Linked DNA regions of Mus musculus. The protein of the gene in region 3 purifies or fractionates together with the protein of the main gene of each other region. This does not show direct contact. Links are inferred from orthologs where the notes say so. Each region holds a gene or a part of one and is shown on either strand. Other genes may lie near its edges.

Region 1 (5,892 bases), on a different chromosome or scaffold from region 3:
GGAATCAAACTCAGGTGACCGGTGCCTTCCCCCACTGAGCTACCTTGCAGAGCCCCTGCTGTTTATTTTTACACAGGTGCTCACCTTTGCTATGTGGCAAAGGATAGCTTCTGCCTCTCTCTCGCTCAAGTGCTGAGATGACAGCCATGCACTGTCACATCTGGCTTCAAATGTGTTCTGAAATCACAAGCACCTAAGCAGTGATGGCAGGAACTATCCCAAGAGAAGCCGTTGTTAAACACTGGGGTTCTAAGTCTTACAGACTGCACAGAGCACCCGGGTCCTACTCCCATCTCAGGAAAGTTAGAGCAGCCAGAGAGCCCTCCAAGTCAGAGCGCACCAGGGCCACAGACCTGAAATGTGCGCTGTCAAGCGTCTGCTCAGCGCTTAGGAATCCAGCCCCTCACAGATGGACATAGAACACGGTAAAGTCAGCGTGTACACCAGAGCCTGCCTGTCCTCCCACATGTGCTAGGGCAGCAGGCCCCACTTCCCTCCTCAGTATTACAGCCATGGCAGCAAGACAGGAAACAAAGCCTGTAGCAGCAGACCAGAGGCCCCTCCCACCCGGCAGCAGACCAGAGGCCCCTCCCACCCGGCAGACCAGAGGCCCTCCCACCCGGCAGGAAGACAAACCTTCAGAGAACAGAAATAGGTGTTCCCAGGAATGGTTCTGCAGCTGTGTGTGGCTCTTCAGTGCTTCCTAATACAATGCTATGCGAGGCACTGGGCTTCTCTGCTGCCACACACTGCTGCCTGGCAGGTGGTCTTCCCAGGAAACTGGAAGGAATAGGTGTGTGGGTGGGACTGGGAGCCGAATGCTGGATTTGGGGAGGATGGGGAAGGACTTTCTAGGAGTAATGAGAAGTTTTCCCCAAGAAGGTGAGATGCAAAATTCCTAAATGGAAAGTACCTGCCCTCAGCTTGAGAGTATAACAAGCACAGGGGCCAATGAGAGGACTCAGTGGGAAAAGGCCTGCTACCAAGCCTGATGACTTGAGTTTGATCCCAAGAACCCACATGTAAGGAGAAAGTGGACTCTATCAAGTTATCCTTTGACTGCCACAAGGATACCTCGGCACACATACATAAGAATTAACACACACAAAAAAATTAAGATGTAACTTAAACAAAGAGTATAAGACACACAGGTATATGGGTATAGAAGTTTTAATTTGGGGAGCAGGTTAGGCCATTGTCTCTTTACTGCTGCGACAGAGTTGGAACCCAGTACCTCTTGCACGCTAGAGAAGTACTCTACCACTGAACCACACATCCAGGCCACCCTCACATCTTGGTAGTATGCTACAGGCCTGCAGGTAATGATGGCACAAGGGAGGGGCAAGAGCATGGCTTGCTCACACTTGGGGTTCTAAGGTCTCAATCTGGGGCGTCTGTTTTGGAGAGATGTAAAACTGCAGAGGACTGTATTTTATTTGCTTGGTGGTTGACAGGATCCCCTGTAGCCTGTGCCAGCCTCACACTTACCGTGGCTGACGACTTTGAACTTCTGACCCTCCTGCTTCCCTCTCCCCAGTGCTCAGACTACAGGCCTGCCCCACCATGGCTAGTTTTTAAGCAGTGCTAGAGATGGAGCCCAAGGCAATGCCATACAACTGAACTCCAGCCCATTTGGTTTTTGATATTGTCTCATGTAGTCCAGGCTAGCCTAGAATTTGCCCTATATCGAGGACTGACTCTGAATCCCAGATCCTCCTTCCTCGTCCTCCTCCTAAGACCTGAGTTTACAGGTGTGCTACCATGCTCAGAAAGTAAGGTTATGTGGGAACATTATCTGGGAGGTCCAGAGTTAACTAGGATGCTCTGAACCCTGGAGAGAGACAGATGAAGCTGGAGGGAACGGGCAGGTAGGACAGGACAGGCTTGGTTTTCTGGGTTGGTGAGCTGTCTTTTCTTTCTCTTCCTCCCCTCCCCCCTCTCTTTATCCTACCCGACTCCCGGCCCCATCCCTCCAGACAGGGTTTCTCTGTGTAGCCCTAGCTAGCTGTAGAACTCTCTGTAGACCAGGTTGGCCTTGAACTCACAGGCCTGCCTGCCTCTGCCCCCTGAGAGCTAGGATTAAAAATGTGTGTCATCATCATCTGGCTCCTGGTTTGGTGAATTTTCAAAGATGGCTACAGTTCATATAGGAGCCAAGGTGGGAAGGAGAGGGTCTACTTACTATACTAGAAGGAGCAGAGGTTCTAACAGGAAGTTAGGTGGGTGGGGTTTCCTGGAGTAACAGGAAATAAGAGTCTACAGGAGGTGAGAATAAGGAGAGCCACTGGAACTGAATGATGGGCAAGAGTGGAGATGGAGGTCAAATACAGAGGATAAGGGGGCTCTACAGGTATGTCCCATGTGGGACTCAAGTCTATAACCCAGGGAAAGGGATCCTGGACTGGGGAATCCCAGCTGCAAGCTAAGATTGACAGTTAAATTAAGGGCTCATTTAGTTTGGAAGTTGGGGGGGGAGGGGGTCGTCTCTGGGCCTTTAATAGAAATTCATGCCTAAGATCCTGGGAAATAGATGCCATAGTCAGAAGTTTTGTGGCTCCAGACTCTAAGTAGTGAGGAGAGGCAGAAGGGAGACGTGCAATATGAAGTGGGTGCGTGGCTGGGCTATGAGATCACCTAACAGAACCTGGGGTCCAGACTCTGAGGAAGAACAGAAGGTTCTGCACAGGATAGTGGGGACCCTACACACAAGGGTCAGCTTGGGGATGGGGAGAGGCAAGACTCTGACTAAAGTATTACCAACTGATAAAATGGCTCAGAGTGTAAAGGTGCTTGTGGCAACGTGGGGCGACTGGAGTTCCACAGCCAGTTCCAACATGGTGAAAAGAGAGGCCCAACTTCTACAAGTTATCCTGTGATCACCATAGGCATGCTGTGCCACGTGCACACGGGAACACACACAATAAATAAACTTACAAACAGAAGAGAACCATAGCACAGAGAGAACGCCTGGAGATACAGGTCAAGAATTACGGTGAAGAAGCCAGGAGTCCTGGGATGGAATTAAAAAGTCCGGCCCTGCATGAAGGCACATGTCTCTAATCCCAGTACTGGGAAGGCAGAGGCAGGAGGATCACTGTGAGTTAGAAACCAGCCTGTTCTACACAGCAAGTTCTAGGCCAGGGAAGGTTACACAGTGAAATTTTGTTTCAAAAAAAAAAAAAAAGAAAAAGAAAAGAAAAGAAAGAGAAAAGTCTAGATTGTGGAGCAGGCGGCTCCAGATGTCAATAACTAAGGTCTCCCCCGCCCCCACGCCAGGTGGCCTGGGGAAGAGGTCAGAACTCTAGAGCGGGGGGTCCCGGGAGTGGGGGGGAAGGGGATGAGCGCGCACAGCCCCACCTGGTGCCGCCAGCGGAAGAGGCTGGCAGTGTCTATGTTGGGGTGCGTCTCGTCCTCATCGTCCGACACCTCGATGTGATCCCAAACGCTGTAGTCCACCATCTTCGCTTCGGAGGCCCGGACTGGCTCCCGGGGCTCCACACGGCCGGGCGCTGAACAGGGACCCACAAGGGCTAGAGAGTCCGCTCGGCGAGCCCCGCCCCTTCCGCTTCCGCCCAGGGCGCCGCGCAGGACGGCCCCGCCCCAGCGTCGGCGCGGGACGTTACGTCCTTAGCAACGGGAGTCGGCGGCATTGGCAACCGGAGGTCTTCTTTAAAGGGCCAGGAGTATGTGGTGAGGCCTTCTGGAAGTTCCCGCCGAAACCAGACTGACCATCCTTTAGAAACAAAAGGTTAGTCGCGTTGGGCGTGGTGGCCCACGGTAATCCAAGTACGCTAGAGGCAAAAGCAGGTGGCTCTCCAGGAGTTCTAGTCCAGCCAGGGCTACATATTGACACTGTCAAAAAGTCAAAATTGGCTGGGCGGTAGTGGCGCTATGCCAGTACTCCGGAGGCAGAGGCCGGCGGATCGAGGCCAGCCTAGCCTACAGAGTAATTTTAGGGACGGTCAGGGTTGTTATACAAACAACACTCTAAAAAAAAAAAGTCAACATTGCATACACTAGCAAGATTTTATCGAAAGGACCCAGATGTAGCTGTCTCTTGTGAGACTATGCCGGGGCCTAGCAAACACAGAAGTGGATGCTCACAGCCAGCTAATGGATGGATCACAGGGCTCCCAATAGAGGAGCTAGAGAAAGTACCCAAGGAGCTAAAGGGATCTGCAACCCTATAGGTGGAACAACATTATGAACTAACCAGTACCCCGGAGCTCTTGATTCTAGCTGCATATGTATCAAAAGATGGCCTAGTCGGCCATCACTGGAAAGAGAGGCCCATTGGACACGCAAACTTTATATGCCCCAGTACAGGGGAACGCCAGGGCCAAAAAGGGGGAGTGGGTGGGTAGGGGAGTGGGGGTGGGTGGGTATGGGGGACTTTTGGTATAGCATTGGAAATGTAAATGAGCTAAATACCTAATAAAAAATGGAAAAAAAAAAGTCAAAATTGAGGCTGGAAAGTTGGCTCAATAGTTTGGAGACTGGCTGGTCTTCCAGAGCACCCGGATTCTGTTCCCAACACCTACATGGCCACTCACACCCATCTGTAAGTCCAACCCAGGATATATATATTATGTCCCCATTTGGCCTTTGACTACACCAGGCATGCATGTGGTGGACAGATATACTTGCAGACAAAACATTAATATACAATTTGTTTTTTTTAATCATGTTTGCCCTTAATTCCCACCCCACCCCCACCCCCACCAGAGTCTCACTGTATATAAGACAGCTCTGGCTGTCTTGGAATTCACTATGTAGACCAGGCTGACTTCAAACTAACAGATCTTTCTACCTCTTCTCCCCAGTGCTGGGGCTAAAGGTGTGCCCCACTACACCAGATCTGCCCTTAAATTTTAAAAAATATTTATTTGTTTGTTTGTTTGTTTGTTTGTTTTGAGACAGAATTACTCTGTGTAGCCTTGGCTGTCCTGGAACTCACTCTATAGACCAGAATAGCCTAGAACTCAGAGCTCTGACTGCCTCTGCCTCTGAAGATTAAATGCTGGGACTAAAGGCATATAGCAGGACCACCTGGCTAAATAAATAAGTAAATAAATAAAATTTTAAATTACATCTTAGGGGCTGAAGCGACCACTCAGTAGTTAAGAGCACTGGCTGCTCTTTCAAAGGACCCAGGTTCAATTCCCAGCACCCATATAGCAACTCACATTTGTCTGTAACTGCAGCTCCAGAAGGGTTGATACTCACACCGACATATATGCAGACACAATACACATAAAATAAATAAGTCAGGGTTTTTTTTCTGTTCTCCCCAACACCCTACCCCCAGAGAGGGATTCTTAGTGTAACCAGCTGTCCTGGACTTGCTTTGTAGACCAGGCTGGCCTCAAACTCAGAGATCCGCCTGCTTCTGCCTCTCAAGTGCTAGTATTAAAGGTGTGCACCACCATGTTCAGCTAAATAAGGAGGTTTTTAAAATGACATTTTATTAATTTTGTATGTGTTTGTACACATGTGAACATCAAAACAACTTTCTGGAGTCAGTTTTGTTCCACCATGTGAATCCCACTGATCAAATTCAGTTCATCAGGCTTGGTGGCACTAAACCGTCTCCCCAGCTCAGGCCTTTAAAGGAAAAGTCTGGCCGGGCAGTGGTGGCGCACGCCTTTAACCCCTGCACTTGCGAGGCGGAGGCAGGCGGATTTCTGAGTTCAAGGCCGGCCTGGTCTACAGAGTGAGTTCCAGGACAGCAAGGGCTATACAGAGAAACCCTGTCCCGTGGGAAAAAAAGAAAACAAAACAAAAAACAACAAAAAAAAAAAAGAAAACAAAAAAAGAAAAAGTCTGAGCGTGCGTTCGGTGTGTGTGTGTGTGTGTGTGTGTGTGTGTGTGTGTGTTTGTGTTAGGCACGCA
Region 2 (5,926 bases), on a different chromosome or scaffold from region 3:
AACTTTTTTCCAAGTCTAATGACTTCTCCTCTTCTCCATGAATGACTAAAAATATTTTTGTAGCAGTTTTTACGTCTCTACCCTCTAAAAACTTTTTAAAAGGAAGAATAACGTGAAGATAAACAAACCGGTTCATCCATTACCATATCAGCAATAAAAGGAGAATATTCATCAATGTCCCTGAAGCTAAAAAAAAAAAAAAAAAAAGGCCAGGAAGGGACCCCCTTCAGGTGATGAAGAGGAGCAGAGCCTACTGAAGAAGTCATCACAACCTGAGGAATTTGCTGTGGTGCCCACATGGCATACTGCCACACCGTACCACAACCCATTCCTCTTTTTCCACAGTGACTCATTAAGCAAGAGTTCCCTGACAAAGCCACTGCACTGCCCTGGGATCTACAAACTATGTAGGAGGAAGGCTAGCCTCCCTCCTCCCCACAGGGAAATCACTTTCCTCATCCTGAGCCATTCCGAGCAATCTCACAATGGTGACATTTGCTGAACCATGGCTTGAATAAAAGGCTCTCAGTGTGCAGAATGGTAACGTGAGGCACAGGCTAACCCTGGCAGTGCTCTCTGGAAAGGACCCACAGCCTCTCTTTGAAAGGAGAATAAAGAAAGGCACAGCAGGAGAGCTGGGTCCCAGAGAGTCCTGCAGGCAACCTTGACCGCAGCATTCCCAGAACTGACTGAGATGAGGTGCACAAAGGGTTGCTTCAAAGAGTCTTGTACAAAAAAGCTAGCATAAATCCTGCACGTGTCTCTAAACGGCCTTTCTTAATTGCCAGGTAAGCTGGGAACACTCTGTGCTCCAAAGAAAAACAAAAGCAAAAACAAAATACAAGCTCCTTTTCCTTCCCTATTCACTAATGGACCCATCTCCCAGTTTGTTTGTTTTTGTTTCAGTACTCCACAAATCCCAAACCAAAAGAAACTGTAATTTTTCTATCCGTGCTTAATCACAAAGGGCCTAACTTCCCTTTCTTGAAAAGTCCTTTTCCCTTGGAGAACGGAGACCCCTTAGTCTTGCCTAGAAGCAAACGTGAAGCAATAGCCTTGAGCTGGTCATTTTCCCTTTGAAAAGGTGACAGTCGCTGCATCTCAACACTCTGAACCTTTTGTTTTGTGGACAGTTGTCGCCATTTCAAGTTAGATTTCATGATTTTTCTTTGTGGAAAATAGGATCTGTGGCGTTGCCCAGACAAGTCACTAGAATCTTCTCCCCTGCATCGCTGCTCTAAAATCTACAGAAATCTGTTTCTTCAGTTTATCACTTGAGCTACATAACTGCCTTTCTTCCGAACTCATTCACCGAATTGGATTTTTTAGCAAAACCCAATGGTTTCTTGTCCGACTTGCTTATCTTCTAATGCAGTCCACTTTCAGAAAGGCCGAGATCACTGGGCTTGCTTTTGAAATTACCAAAGTAGTTTCCTCTTTCACCCAGAACTTAGGGTGTGGTTTCATGCAGGAAAGAGAGAGAGAGAAAGAAAGAGAGAAAGGGGGAGGGAGGGAAGGAGGGAGGGAGGGAGCTTTTGTCGTCAGGGGTGGGGATGGGGGTAGGGGTGTGTGGATGTGTTTTGTGGCTCTCCCGGGTCTGCAAGAGTTTCTTTCTAAGGAGAACTCTCCACACTTCCCCAACAATCACAAGAACGGTTATTCTCAAAGTTGGTTTAAAACTTCGGACAATGAATGAGCTTAGCGCTCTTGGAGTCTGGAGTCAATCTCAACTAACGGTTTTCCTGAACCGCTAGACGATCTCACCCTCAGGGCTCCATGAGTCATATCCACTGACTCAGCGACCCCACCCCGTCCCCTGGGCTTTACTCCAGAGGCAGTGGCTCCTAATCCTCTCTAGTTGAACTGAGTCCGTTAGATCAGGGGATATGACCACGTCAAACAAGCCCTCTGCAAAGGTCTTGAGCCAGATATCTTGGGCTGTGTGCTTCTCCACCCCCAATCTCGGGCCCTCTTTGTTTCTCTCTCCCCGGCTTCCGATCTGCAGGACTGCTTTTGCAGGCTCTTCCTGCTCCTCCGCTCTCGGATCTCCCCACCCACCCAGTCCCAGAAGACCGCAGATCTGCGACTGCGACCACGCCCCTCCTACCAGCGCGCCTAGTCCCACGCCCCTTTGGCCCAGTGCCAGGGATCGCTTTACTCAACTTTCCAGAGCCCCCCTTCCTTCCCCCATGAATCCTTCCCGCGATCCCTTCTTTCTCAGCACCCAAGGGTGAGTAGAGAGTTCGGGTGATCACCAGGAAAGCCCCTGAAAGGCCTAGCACTTCCAATTAGTAACAGGACTGTGCTTGATACCCTACAGCCCTGGAGGAAGGCTCGAGGGGAGCTCCCTCCCCCACCCCCCTTCCTCACTTCTTTCCGGGTCCCCATTGGCTGGCTCGCTCGGCGGCTAGGATGGCAGTGGGAGGGGACCCTCTTTCCTAACAGTGTTATAAAAGCAGCGCCCTTGGCGTTGTCCAGTCCTCTGCCACTCTTGCTCCGGGACCCCAGAGACCCCAGCGCTCCTACGATTCACAGCCACCGCGCCCTCATTCCCTTGTTGCAGTTTTTCCAGCCGCAGCAAGCCAGCCCACCTTCGAAGCCATGTCTACCAGGTCTGTGTCCTCGTCCTCCTACCGCAGGATGTTCGGTGGCTCCGGCACATCGAGCCGGCCCAGCTCCAACCGGAGCTATGTGACCACGTCCACACGCACCTACAGTCTGGGCAGCGCACTGCGCCCCAGCACTAGCCGCAGCCTCTATTCCTCATCCCCCGGTGGCGCCTATGTGACCCGGTCCTCGGCAGTGCGCCTGCGGAGCAGCGTGCCGGGCGTGCGGCTGCTTCAAGACTCGGTGGACTTCTCGCTGGCCGACGCCATCAACACTGAGTTCAAGAACACCCGCACCAACGAGAAGGTAGAACTGCAGGAGCTGAATGACCGCTTTGCCAACTACATCGACAAGGTGCGCTTCCTCGAGCAGCAGAACAAAATCCTGCTGGCTGAGCTCGAGCAGCTCAAGGGCCAGGGCAAGTCGCGCCTGGGCGACCTGTACGAGGAGGAGATGCGGGAGCTGCGCCGGCAGGTGGATCAGCTCACCAACGACAAGGCCCGTGTCGAGGTGGAGCGGGACAACCTGGCCGAGGACATCATGCGGCTGCGAGAGAAGTAAGGCCTGACCTACGCGAGTGGTGGGGTGTGGGAGGGAGGGGAGTCCTGGGCCTTGCACTGGGGCTGCCACGCCCTTGGGGATGTGGCTGGGGTGGCGGTTGTCTGGAGGATAGCAGAGGAAGCGGGCCCCACCCTGAACCTAAACTTTGCAGTGAACATTTCTCTTTTCGCCTCACTCAAGCACTTCCATTGAACTTTTTAGAAAGTTTCTTAGGTCCTTCTTCTGGGCTTACAGTTACCAGACAGGAGGAAAGAATGGGTGTGAAGGGTTCCAGACAAAGAGATGGCAAAGGCATCTGGGATATTGGGACAGGGGATTGGCTGTAATTGTAAGGGAAGGGCAGTGATTGTCTTTTCCAGTGTGCCCCAACTCCAGCTAACACCTGCAGAGAGCTGCCACCTCGACAAGTTGCAGTAACTACTGTGGGTGGAGGTGTCACAGCAGCTCTGGACTCAAGGCTTGGCGGCATTTGTGGTTGGGTGTGGCCGCCCCGCCCCTGGCGGTTTTCCAGTTCCCCTTTGATTAATGTGCTGCTGCTTCAGATTGCAGGAGGAGATGCTCCAGAGAGAGGAAGCCGAAAGCACCCTGCAGTCATTCAGACAGGTTTGTAGACTTCTTTTTCACATGCAGCCAGCAGCCCAATGGAGCCAACCCGCGAGCGGTTCTAAAAGTTACTTCCCTTAGGTTTTAAAAGGTGCAGAACTTCACGTCTGCTTGTAAAGCCCCCTGGCGGCGGAAAGCGCACAGATTGAAAAACTCCACTATTTAGGGCAGTCTTTGGAACATGAAGGCTTTATTTTCTGCTTCGTTTCCAGATTTTTCTGATCCCCCACACCCCCGAAACATTTCTCCTTTCGTTTTTTGAAACATATCGACATTCGGATATTGAATGGTTACAATTTGATTACATTGTGGATTGTGAAGGTGAAATTGGCTAACTTTCACAAGGTCATAAAAACCACAGTTGCTTCCTCCAGTTGGAAATGTAGAATACTCTGGAGGATGAGAAAGTTTAACTGGAATTAAGCCAAGTTCCCTTTCTTCCTTCGAAGTTCGGCACTGCGTGAAAGTTAGCAGAAGAGTCATTGCACAACCATTTTTGAAATCTAACAAGGGTGAAAAGAAGCCATCTGTTCCCGTAGCTCAAGGGTGTTAAAGGTTTCTATGGGCTTCACTATGGAATGTAGATAGGGACGTTCTGGCAAATGCGGTGGCTCTGGACAGAAAGAATAGGGGCCTTTGTGTTCCCAGAGCAGCTTTGCAACAGGCTACATTCTTATTGAATATGTAATGATGTAACCACAGTTCCAATTGGACACAAGTATTTGCTAACATCCATTATCTTGTGTCTGGGCCAGGCTTGTGAGGTATGCCGTGTACAAAGTTCTTAAAGCTAAAGTCCTCCCTCACATTTGGAAAGGCCCCCTTTTAGGGGGGTTTGTAGACTCATTAGCACCCTCCACAAACAAAATTAAACCCTAAACTGAAGAATGGAGTATTTTATGGAGGGAGGATTTGTTTGTTTGTGTTTGTTCCAGGGTTAGGCATTACCTTAGCATCCCGAAGTGGACAGATGGCCAGTTCAGTCTTGTTTGGAACACTTGTTAGGATCAACAGCCAAACTCTCCAGATGAATGTTCTAAGGTAGCATTCTGAAGGCATTTGCATCCTTAATGGCAGTAGACGAATATGCAGCCCCTTTCAGTCACTGGGCATTTTCAGTCATCACCAAAGGAATGTTTTCTACAAAGCACTGAGTTAATACACACCATCTCTTATTTGTGGACTAAAAATTGTTTCATTCATTCATTTAAATGAAATGACACATTTAGCTGAACTTTTTCGAGAAGGTTAGTCCAATATCATTTATATATTTTTTGATGGCTTAGCAGAAGTCAGAAATGAATGATACTACTATTTAAGTTCTTATATTCTTTTTTAAATTAGTATTTTCTTTGGGACTGATAGAGTAACTCAACATTATAGTTATAAACTATACTGCAAATACAGTTGCTTACAAGGGAAGTTTCCAAACATTTCCTTGAAAGGAAACAACATTTCACATGCAAGATTGAACAGTCTGTCTTAAAATAGATCACTTTATAAAAACTCTGCAGAGAAGTTTAAGTATAGTTTCATTGTAAGTGTTTTGATCTGTCATCCTAAAACAGACAAAGTCATTGAAATAACACTGTGACAGCTGGGACAGGCAGAAATACCCTATAGGCTGAGCCAGGGTGTTTTACACATTAAAAAAATTAGAGAAGGCAAAACAATATAGTTCAGGATTATATTTCTTTTCCTTCTTGCCCGAGGAGCATATCTCTGCAAATGCAAGACCTGGATTTTGAACAATGAATTACTACTTGATACGAGGCTAGCCTGGGAACCTGGATGCCAGATAACTGAGTGCTTATTCTAAATTCCAAAGATAAGCATCTGAAGGTTTGAATACAGGAAACAAAAAAGAGCATGCATATATGTTAACCCTTCTGAGCTCAATTTTAAATGATTTTTAAAAAATATGTAATGTGTTTGTGTCTGTGTGAGTGTATAGGACATTTCTGCAGGCTTGCATGAGGCCAGAAGAGGGCACCTGATGCCCTGGAGTTGGAATCATAAACCTTCATGAACTGCTCCATGTGGGTGCTGGGAACCAAACTAAAATCCTCTGAAAGAACAGCATTCTTTACTACTAAGCCTCACTTTAGAAAACATTTTAATTTTATTTTTGAAGCTCTCATTTTTATATTACGTG
Region 3 (5,134 bases):
TGCTTGTGTGGGGGCGGGGGTAAGGATCGTGCAGCAGCCTCTCCTGTCCCATGGGAGCTGGTCTGTGCTTGGAGCACAGGGAAGAACAAAGCACGCAGAAATGAGAGCCGTGTAGGAGAGAGCTGGGTTAGAATGAATGATAGATCATCTCATCTTCCAGAATGTGCGCTTGGCACCTTGGTAGCTCCTCCCTCTATGGCGTCCTCTTTCAGTGCCAGCTAACTTCAGAGACGGCGCTGAGGAGTTGGGGAGTGACACTGGCATGGCTTCTGAGATTTGGGGTCAGGGTGGATGAGATCTGAAAGGATGCCTGGGAATAAAGATAGGAGAAACTCCAGAAGGGGAAAGGCCCAGTCCTAGCACGGAAGGAGGCCATGGAAATTGTGATCCCCAGACATTCTGTCCCCTCCTGCCAGCTACCCCTGTACCCTGCGCCAGTACCTTGAGGAGCAGACTCCCAGTTCTCGCCTGGCTACCATGATGACCTTGCAGTTGCTGGAGGGCGTGGACCATCTGGTTCAGCAGGGCATTGCCCATCGGGATCTCAAGTCCGACAACATCCTTGTGGAGTGGGACTCAGGTAGCTGCTGGCCAGAGCCACAGTGCTCTGGACACACCCAGAGTGCTCCAAGAAGGGGCATTAGAGACCCTGAGGGCAGTGTGTGTGTGTACATGTGACATGCACATGTCGAGGCCAAAGGTTGGGGCCTGGCCCCTGTCTCCTTCTCTCTCCCTTATGTTTTTAGAAAGGGTCATTCACTGAGCCTGGCGCTCACTGTTTCAGTAAGGCTAGCTGCCCACCAAGGCCCTGGGATCTCTCTCCATCACCCTAGTGCTGAGGTTATAGCTTTGACATGGGTGGTGGGGATCCAAGTAGGTCCTCACTACTCTAACCACTGAGCAATCTCCCCAGCCCTCTGAATATTCTGTACTGCCTTCTTTAGCTCTACTTCAAGAGAGGACTCCCCTCCATCTCATGGGTAAGATAGGCAACAGCCCTCTTACAGTTCCTGGGGTCTTCTCTGTGGCCCCCTTGCAGAACAATACCATCTGTCCTGTAGTTTTTGAACCAGTGAGAGGTAGGAGAGGTAGCCAGATTGTGGCTCAGTGAAAGCTGCCCACACAAACCCCTGGCTTCTCCATCACTGGCAACATGCAGTGAGCATGCAATGAGAAGCCCTGCCTGGGATGTTCTAGAGGATTGCCGGGCTGGAGAGATGGCTCCGTGCTTAAGTGCTCCTCTCTTCTGGATGGCCTGAGTTTGGTTCCCAGCACCCAGGTGGAAACGCACAGCTGCCTCTAACTCCAGCTCCAGAAGATCTGGCGCCCTCTTCTGGCCTCTCCGGGCACCAACACACATAGATAAAAATAAAACAGATCTTTTTTTTTCCAGACCTGAGGAACTGAACCCAGGGCCTTGCGCTCTACCACTGAGCTAAATCCCCAACCCCAAAACAAATCTTTTTAAAAATTAAACTTAAAATAATTAAATGTGTCACTAGAAAGCTTTCTTAGGAACTCCAGGAGCCTTTCTCTCCCAAGGTCCATTTGTTAGATTATTGGCATTACAAACTCAAATGTAAGACTCCTAGAATATAAAGACCCTTGGGGACCATTTTGCCAAGGATGAAGTCTCTGAGCTGTATCTAGTCTAGTTCATCCTTACCTTGGTGGTAGCGTCTGGAGGGGATCTGGGAGGGGCTGTCAGGAGTACAGGCCGACTGCACCGCTCACCTTGGCCGCCTCTCTGCAGATGGCTGTCCCTGGCTAGTGATCTCAGACTTTGGCTGCTGCCTGGCTGACCAGCATGTTGGCCTGCGGCTGCCTTTCAACAGCTCCAGTGTAGAGCGTGGTGGCAATGGCTCCCTGATGGCCCCTGAGGTGAGTCCTGCCTGCTGTGTTTGTGTCCTGCCAGCAGGGGGCATTTCCTAAACGTTCCCAATAAGCGACTGCCCCCACTTTCACTGGGCTGGCCTGAGGTCCCCGGGAGGTCTGTCTGCATCAATGGGTGGCTGTGGCAGATGTCTCCCGGCTTCATGCCTCCCTGTGATGCATTTACATGCAGGGTTCAGATTTGATCCCAGCTTAGGCTGTGCATGAACACAAAAGATGGGCCCAGTGGGGCCTGACCTCTCTTTCTGCTTCCCGCAGGTGTCCACAGCCCATTCTGGCCCCAGTGCGGTAATTGACTACAGCAAAGCCGATACCTGGGCTGTGGGGGCCATCGCCTATGAAATCTTTGGGCTTGCCAATCCCTTCTATGGCCAAGGCAGTGCCCACCTCGAGAGCCGCAGCTACCAGGAAGCTCAGCTGCCTGAGATGCCTGAGTCGGTGCCTCCAGAGGCAAGACGGCTGGTGAGGTCACTGCTCCAGCGAGAGGCCAGCAAGGTGAGGCTGTTCCCAAGCTCTGGCCTCTGGGTGAGGGCCTCTGCTCATGTCTGAGTCAAGGCTGAGTTTAGGCAAGTTCTACAGTGTTAAACAGAGCCTGTCATATACAGGCAAAGGCCAGCTACAGAACAGGGTAGGTTTGAGAATAAACAGGGCAGGAAGCTGGCCAGTTAGCCCTGAATCAGAGGCCTAGCATCGTAGCCTCTGGGTCCTTTTGGGTCCCTTTCACTCCCTGTTCATGGGGCTTTGGCATGCCGGGCCATGTCACCCGTGCTTCCCAGTCCTCTTGACTTTGGCTATATTGGAGTTGCTTAGAAGGATGGCCTGGCAAGATGGCTCAGCAGGTAAAGGGGCTTGCCACACCTGACAACCGGAGTTCAAAACCTGGGACCCACATGAAGGCAAAAGGAGAGTGCTGACCTCACCAAGTTATCCTCTGACCTCCACACACACATCGGATAGATCCAACAAGAATGAAAAAACCTTAGGGCCGGCGAGATAGCTCGGCGGATAAAGACACTTGCTGCTGAGTTTGATCCCCACGACCCACACAGGAAGGAGAGAGCCAACTCCTGCAGCCTCCCGCCCCCTAGATAAATAAATGTAACTAGAATATTTTGTTTAAAGGAGACTGGCTTGGAAAGAAAAGGATGTGTTTTTGAGAAACATGTAGCAAAGATGCAGCAGTGGAAGGAGTACTCCTCTCAGCCCAGCAGGAGCCCAGAGGCCAGTTGGCCTGAGCCAGACTTGCAAGGGCAGGTCTGGTAAGGGTGGCTCCTTAGAAAACCCTGAGATGGGCCTGGCTTCAGCCTATTGTTCTGCAGCCTCCTCACCCCTCACTGTTCACACCCCTCACTGTTCACACTCTCACTGTTCACACTCCTGTTTATACCTCTCACTATTCACACCCCTCACTGTTCACTCACTCTTCACATCCTACTGTTCACACACCTCATTGTTCACACCCCTTGCTCTTCACACTCATTGTTCACACCCCTTGCTCTTCACACCCTTACTTCATAGCGGCTGCTCAGCAACTACATCAGGTGCAAAGGCTTTTTGCCGCAGTGCTAGAGATCAGAGCAGTGTATGGGACCCCTTCATGACAGAGGTGTCCCAGCAAAGCCAACATGGGCAAGGTCCTGGGCTTGGTTAGGGGGTAGCTGAGGGAAGATAGGAGGAAGAATCAAATTGGGGCAGGCCTGAGATGGCACTCCCTCGGCTGCAGTGTGGACTATGTGCTTTGTGCAGGCATTCTGACGGCCCCTTCCGTTGCTTTGCAGAGACCGTCTGCACGCTTAGCTGCAAATGTGCTGCACTTAAGCCTCTGGGGCGAGCATCTTCTAGCCCTGAAGAACCTGAAATTGGACAAGATGATCGCCTGGCTCTTGCAGCAGTCAGCAGCCACTCTGCTGGCTGACAGGCTGAGAGAGAAGAGCTGCGTGGAGACAAAGCTGCAGATGCTGTTTCTGGCTAACCTGGAGTGTGAGGCTCTCTGCCAGGCAGCCCTCCTCCTCTCTTCCTGGAGGGCAGCCCCATGATGGCTCTGTGCTCCAGTTACTAAAAGACTAAGGGGCATCTGTGTCCTGATGTCATGACAGTATACGAAGGCTGAAGAAGGTGGCTTGGCTGGGTGGGCAGGAGTCAGGGGACAAGCTGGAGTAGAGGGAGGGGCTGGTCAGCCTTGGGCTCAGCAAATGGGAAGAACAGCCTTGAACAGCTCAGGAGGGAGAGAGGCACTACCTGTGCCCGTCCAGTTAGGTTCTTGGGCAGAATTAAGACATCAGGCCAGACCAGGAGTTGGTAAGCTATAGAGGGCCAGACAGGGAATGAAGTAGTTGTAATGACTAACCTATCACTGAGGCAAAGGCCAAGCAAGCACTGCAGTGAGGCCAACACTGAACTTTGCTTGTCGTCAATAAGTTCTGCTCATTTTTCCCAACCACTTAGAAATGCAAAAACATAGGTTTAATTTGTAAGCAGCAACCAGCATGGCTCATAGTCAAATTTACCAATTCCTGGGCTAAATGCATTCTTTATGTCTAACTCTTTAAAGATGCGAGCATTAAAGACAGTCTCCATGCCAAAGATGTGTACACTGGAGCCAAGTGTTCTCCCACCAGAGGAAAATCACGCTCACTCTGCAGACCAGGAAGCGCTCCCCGCCGTGATGGTAGATGTGGACAGGCTGAGGGGGTTAGACCCGTCCTTCCTGTCTCCGAGACCCAAGGGCAGTAGCTGGCAGTTTATGGCCCCCGTCCCTCATGCCAGTAATGGGCTTTATAACAGAGGTGGCCACTATTGCCTGGCATGTGCCCTCTAGGCTGAGGGCAATGCTGTTTATGACCATCCTCCTACGGCAGGGTCTGCAGGGCTGGTGCAAGGCACGGGTGTGTCTGCAGGGCCTGGGAATGCATCCCTCAGAGCCGCTGAGCTGCAGCAGGCACTCGGTGTGGTGTGGGACCTGGGGGTCTTGTGCCAGCCTTTCTTACAGGAGCCATGGAATATTAAATGTGAGTTTACAGCATAGAGCAGAGCACAGTGTGCTGAACTGAGGGTCTTGCATTAGGAATGAGTCTCATGCCCTAACAGAGACAGTTCACATACAGTTTAACAGATGTGGCTGAGCTGTGGCTCATGTGCATGCCTTTGACCCCAGCATGTAGAAGATCTCTCAAGAGTTCAAGGCCAGCCTGGTCTACAGAGTGAGTTCTAAGACAGCCAGGGCCACACAGAGAAACCCTGT
Region 4 (5,246 bases), on a different chromosome or scaffold from region 3:
ATAAGGATGTAGTAGCTGGGGCTGGCGAGATGGCTCAGTGGTTAAGAGCGCCGACTGCTCTTCCGAAGGTCCCGAATTCAAATCCCAGCAACCACATGGTGGCTCACAACCATCCGTAACAAAACCTGATGCCCTCTTTTGGAGTATCTGAGGACAGCTACAGTGTACTTACATATAATAAATAAATCTTTAAAAAAAAAAAGGATGTAGCGGCTGGCCTCAACCCCAGAACCACATAGCTCTAGGTGACCAGATAACTATGTGACATGACAGACCATGTGACAACCCCCACAGGCCAGAAACAAACAGCTGAGCTCTTTCTCCCAACCCCAGCCCTGGTAACCCACCCATTACCACAAAGTCCGTCGTCCCCCGCCCAGGAGAAACCTTGTTTTTCCCAACCCAATAGGAAACTAGACTGCAGAGGCCAGGCCAGTACTATACACGGGCAGAATGTCTAGCCATGACTGCTGGAGGCCATGACACACAAGGTCTCATGATGTGACAACTATACATCTGAACTCCAAGGTTCAGCTGAGTGTGTGGCCCTGAGGCTGGAGAGCACCCAACCAGTGTAGCGGCCTGCCCGTGTTTGTAGTAGGAGCTTAGGGACCCAGCAGGTTCACTCGTGAAAGGACAGCACCCACAGCTTCCACAGTCCCTTCCCAACCACACACCAACTGACCCCGAGTCCCACTGTGGCCTTTCAACCCCCCAGCTCTGGGCCCCTGGTTCAAGTTCTCATCTGTTTACTTCCTACCTTGTCAATATTTACCACCTCCCTTCCCCTGTCCTTTTTTTTTTTTTTTTTTTTTTTTGGTTTTTTCGAGACAGGGTTTCTCTGTGTAGCCCTGGCTGTCCTGGAACTCACTCTGTAGACCAGGCTGACCTCGAACTCAGAAATCCGCCTGCCTCTGCCTCCCAAGTGCTGGGATTAAAGGCGTGCACCACCACGCCCAGCTCCCCTATCCTTTTAAGAGACCACCTTTGGCTGAAAAAATCCAACCAAGCAAAAAAGTATTTACACTACTAACACTGTGTAAATGTTGTTTGCACTGGGCTTGTAGGTCTTCTCGCTACTGTCAAGAGTACATCTCCCCTTTTGTATTATAACCTCCTGATTCTTTCCAGAGTCTTTTTCATTTTCTGTGGTTCATGGCTATCAGGCACCCATCAGGTTTGGCTTTTCCTTGGAAAGCACACTCAGTAGTCAGGCCCTCCACAACGCATATGGGATTTGGCCCCCAGATGACCCTTTGAGATAGTCATATATGGCTTCTGATCCTAAAGACACTAGCAAGACACTCTGTTGGCATGACCAGGACCGCTGTCAGTTTCACATATATAGAGCATCCAGAGGCAGGCACCAAGAAAACCCAGCTGCCAGGAGCTGGTGTTCTGTTAGGCATTTGGCCTTCCCTCAGCAAGGATTCTTCAGCTGTTGTCAGGCCAGTGAGGCTGAAATGCTGGGCCGCCTATTCCTTTGCTCATTTCTGATGCCCACTTCCAGGTGCCTTAGCTTATGTAGCAAAAGGGTCAGGTGCTTCAAGTGCCCGAGATGAAAGCCATCAGCTGGCTGTGTCTCTCAAGAGCCTCTTCCTCCAGTGCTAAGGCCATGGTCTAACTGAACTGCCCTGTCTGTGCTTGGTGTTGGTGCTGGGAATTGAACGCACAGTCTTAACACTCTAACACAGAGCTCCAGCACGGCTCATCCTCAGCTGCTCAACTTAACTGCCAGGCCAGGATGTCCCTACTGCCTCAGAGCTGCCCCTGGGGCAGCATGAGCAGAGATGGCCTTGCCTGCAGCGAGCGGTGGTCACACCTGGTACAAGATGAAGTGGAGACTGGTGGGGCTTGGACACGCTTCATCAGCATTCCTTTGGATACTGACACAGCCTTTGTACAGGTTCCTGTGGCCAACTACTAACACTGCCAACAGGGTAACCAGATGTGGGCAAGCACCTTCTAAACCACACCAGTGTGTCCAACAGCCGGTGCCTAGCATCACAGTATAGAGATGACACCGGCCACCACCTCAGCAGACCGCCACTGTCCTTTGCATGGAGCCTGGCAGAACCCAAAGCACTTGTCCCTACTCTAGCACCTTCTCCGTCTCAGAGAGGCTTGTGAGAAAACAAATCCCAGCACTTGGTAGACCAAGGGAGAATTACACAAGTTCAAGGTCAGCCTGGGCTACAGTGAAGCCTTGTCTAAAGAAAAGAAGAACAAATCACCGGCCTGCTTTCAAGTCTAAACAAATACAACCCACTTGGCTCAGAAAAAGCAGGCTGCTGTTACCCAAAGCTGTGATCAGCTGGCCCATCTGCCAATCTATCTCCCCTACTAGTTCCTTCTGCTTTGTGAAGAAGGCTCAAAGTCAGCCAGGAGCTCAACCTTCAGGCGCCCATCCATTCCAGTCCGCAGCAAAGGCTAATTTTACACAACAAAACCTTGCTGGAGTCGAGCACACATATCTGCCCTGGCCCCTGCACCATGCCAGGAAAGGCTGCCAAAGACTATTTGCACTTTGAGCCACTGTGGTAGTCTGAATAAAATTGGTCCCATAGACCCATAGGGAGTAGCACTATCAGGAGGCATGGCTTTGTTGGAGGAAGTGAGTCACTAGGGTGGGCTTTGAGGGCTCAGAATCTCAAACCAGATGTGGAACTCTCAGCTCCCTCTCTCCAGCACCATGTCTGCCTTGTGCTGCTATGCTTCCTGTCATAACAATAATGGATTAAACCTCTCAAACTGTAAGCCAGCCCCAGTGAAATGCTGTCTTTATAAGAGTTGCTGAGGTCATGGTGTCTCTTCACAGCAATAGAAACCCAAACTAAGACAGTCACCAAGCCACTAGGGTATCTCACAGGATGGCAAGAAAGCTCACTCACCTAGAGGGCTGAGGGCAGCTGCCACACTCTCCCCCACATTCTTCAGGAAATTGACATTGGGATCTTCTGGTGGAGCAGAAGCTGTTTTACAAGAAGAAAGATGACCTCAAATTCTGTGACTGCCACCTACCACAGTCCCAGCACATGGGTTCCAAGGTTCCTATCATCGAGGTAATTCCTGGCTTGGGATTGCCTGACCATACTTGGTACTTCCTCCTGTCCCCTCCCCTCTGCAAGCTTGGTCCCCTAGTGGGTCACATGTTGGGCCTCTCTGGCTCAGTACAGCCCATGTATAAATACTGACCCTGTCCTAGATGTGCTGTTTACTCAAAATCCACAGAGCCCGGCTGGCTGGGCTGGCACATGTCTATAAACTAAGCCTCAAGAGGCTGAGGCAGGAGAATCTCAAGTTTAAGGCCATCTTGGGCTACACAGTGAGTTCTAGGCTCCCCAGGGCCATAGAGAGACTCAAGAGGGAAAAAAAAAATCAAAAGGCAGAAACCCCAAATCTAGAGTGTGGGCCCACCCACTTGTGAGTTCTTTGCTTTCAGGATTTTGAGACAGGATCTTATACCACAGTTGGCTCTGACTTTCTGGTCCTCTAGCCTCTACATGCCGAGGCCTGAGATTACAGTGTACGTGCTGCCACGCCTGGCTTTGGGACCATGGGTTTTTTTGTTTAAAGATTTGAGCACCTATGGCCCTGATATTCCCAAGTTAACCCAAAACAAAAGAAAATACATTCTAGAAATCCAGCCACCTACCCATGCCTCCCAAGGGCGGCCTGGCAGGGGACGGTGGGCCATTTAGGGAAATTAGTGGGCTCAGGCGTTCAGCCACCTGTTTACCCACTTGTAAAAGAGAAATGCTTTGTCTCTTCGGGGTTAAGAGGGTTTGATACCATGGATAAGGATAGAGTGTAGCACAAAAAAGGAACCCCTATGTGTCATGTGTAAGACCCTAGGTTCAACCTCCATTCCCCCAAAAGACAAAAAAAAAAAGGTAAAGGGATGTGTAATGTGCAACTCAGTGTGGGTACTTCTGGACTTTAGGCTATGGGGATGGCTTGGCCAAGGGCCTACCTGAACTAGCTGGCTACTTAAGACACCCAAAAGCTAGTTCAAATACCAGTCTTACCTGACTCAGCTGTAGGGCAAGGGCGGCCATCCCCTGCACGAGGAGGACGTGGGCTCCAGTTCCCCGGTGGGCCCATCTCCCAGCCAGGCCAGCCAAAGTGTCCATGTTTCAGCTTCCGAAGCCAGCGGCTATGAGAGAAGCTCTGGGTAGGAGGAAGCAAGACAGGAGGAGAGTGAGGGGTCAGGGTTTCCAGCTCCCACCACCCTGTATGCCCCCCACGCCCCAGGACGGCAGAGCCCCGGCTCACATCAGAGAGGTGGCCAAAGGGGTTGGGAAAGATGAGCTTGCTGTGTTCCCTGTGCAGGCCCTTCCCCTCGCACACGCTGCACAGGTCGTAGTCTGGGCACACACTGCACTTATAGCGAGTTCCCACCACAGGCCCGTTGCAACCATCACAGATCACATTGGGGTGCACCATGTTTCGGGGTGCCTCCTGAGCACATGGTGGGCGATGTTCCCGCCGGCACTCCTTCTTCTCTGCAGGGAGAGTCAAAGAGTCCATCCAGAACTTAGTTGCTAAGGACAACCGCTTAGGAGGCCAGGACCTCTGTGCCTCTGACAACTCCCAGCCCCGCTACACCCACCCCAAGGCATCACAACTCCGACTCCTGACCCTTCGAGGAAAGCCCCACAGGAAGGAAGCCCCGGATTCAGCCTTTACCTTTAATGTAGATGCGGAAGATGTCATCTTTCACATAGGACATAGCCATTGTCAGCTCCTCATCACTGGAAAAGGCAACCAAGTCCCCATCCTCATCTAGATTGTTCAAGAAATGACACATCAGAGCCAGGGACACAGCTCGGCGGGAGCATGCAAAGGCCTTAGGTTCCATTCCCAGAACTAGAGGCTAAAATGCAGCAGAGGCACCCAGCATCTGCTGCAGTGTACAGAGCCCAGTGGTAAAGGGACATCTACTAAGGCTCTACACTCAACCTGGCTGCTGAGCCAAGCAGCAAGATGGCCGTTCATTCCGATACGGCATGAATATGTACTCCAACCTAGGTCCTAGATTAGTTACATGCAGAAGGCAGAACATATGTCATGTGTATATGTGTATAAGGGTCCAGCTTCCTGCCACTAACCACTGGGCCACCTGTGCCCTCAGGCCACGCCTAACCAGGTGTGGGTCCATCACCTGGGAGATCCCACCCTAGTCCTGATGGCCCAGCCCTTCAAAGGCCTCAGGCTTCAGAAGTAAAGGACGTAAGTCCATCTGT

The links.
Region 1: the proteins of Pink1 (region 3) and Cdc37 purify together in Homo sapiens (affinity purification with mass spectrometry; 6 studies listed by BioGRID and IntAct, with this or other methods). This does not show direct contact. The link is inferred for Mus musculus from reciprocal best matches to the Homo sapiens genes PINK1 and CDC37.
Region 2: the proteins of Pink1 (region 3) and Vim purify together in Homo sapiens (affinity purification with mass spectrometry; 3 studies listed by BioGRID and IntAct, with this or other methods). This does not show direct contact. The link is inferred for Mus musculus from reciprocal best matches to the Homo sapiens genes PINK1 and VIM.
Region 4: the proteins of Pink1 (region 3) and Sqstm1 purify together in Homo sapiens (affinity purification with mass spectrometry; 3 studies listed by BioGRID and IntAct, with this or other methods). This does not show direct contact. The link is inferred for Mus musculus from reciprocal best matches to the Homo sapiens genes PINK1 and SQSTM1.

What each region holds. Positions count from the first base shown.
Region 1 is NC_000075.6:21,146,399-21,152,290, forward strand, and holds the start of Cdc37 (hsp90 co-chaperone Cdc37), read right to left. Parts: upstream 3,537-5,892; 5' UTR 3,460-3,536; coding exon 3,358-3,459; intron 1-3,357. UniProt on the Homo sapiens protein: Co-chaperone that binds to numerous kinases and promotes their interaction with the Hsp90 complex, resulting in stabilization and promotion of their activity. Inhibits HSP90AA1 ATPase activity.
Region 2 is NC_000068.7:13,571,831-13,577,756, forward strand, and holds the start of Vim (vimentin), read left to right. Parts: upstream 1-2,480; 5' UTR 2,481-2,601; coding exon 2,602-3,164; intron 3,165-3,710; coding exon 3,711-3,771; intron 3,772-5,926. UniProt on the Homo sapiens protein: Vimentins are class-III intermediate filaments found in various non-epithelial cells, especially mesenchymal cells. Vimentin is attached to the nucleus, endoplasmic reticulum, and mitochondria, either laterally or terminally.
Region 3 is NC_000070.6:138,312,751-138,317,884, reverse strand, and holds the end of Pink1 (serine/threonine-protein kinase PINK1, mitochondrial precursor), read left to right. Parts: intron 1-416; coding exon 417-580; intron 581-1,684; exon of another isoform or gene 1,685-1,753; coding exon 1,754-1,881; intron 1,882-2,151; coding exon 2,152-2,388; intron 2,389-3,671; coding exon 3,672-3,929; 3' UTR 3,930-4,476; downstream 4,477-5,134. UniProt on the Homo sapiens protein: Serine/threonine-protein kinase which acts as a sensor of mitochondrial damage and protects against mitochondrial dysfunction during cellular stress.
Region 4 is NC_000077.6:50,203,132-50,208,377, forward strand, and holds part of Sqstm1 (sequestosome-1), read right to left. Parts: intron 4,786-5,246; coding exon 4,690-4,785; intron 4,506-4,689; coding exon 4,276-4,505; intron 4,171-4,275; coding exon 4,029-4,170; intron 2,973-4,028; coding exon 2,892-2,972; intron 1-2,891. UniProt on the Homo sapiens protein: Molecular adapter required for selective macroautophagy (aggrephagy) by acting as a bridge between polyubiquitinated proteins and autophagosomes.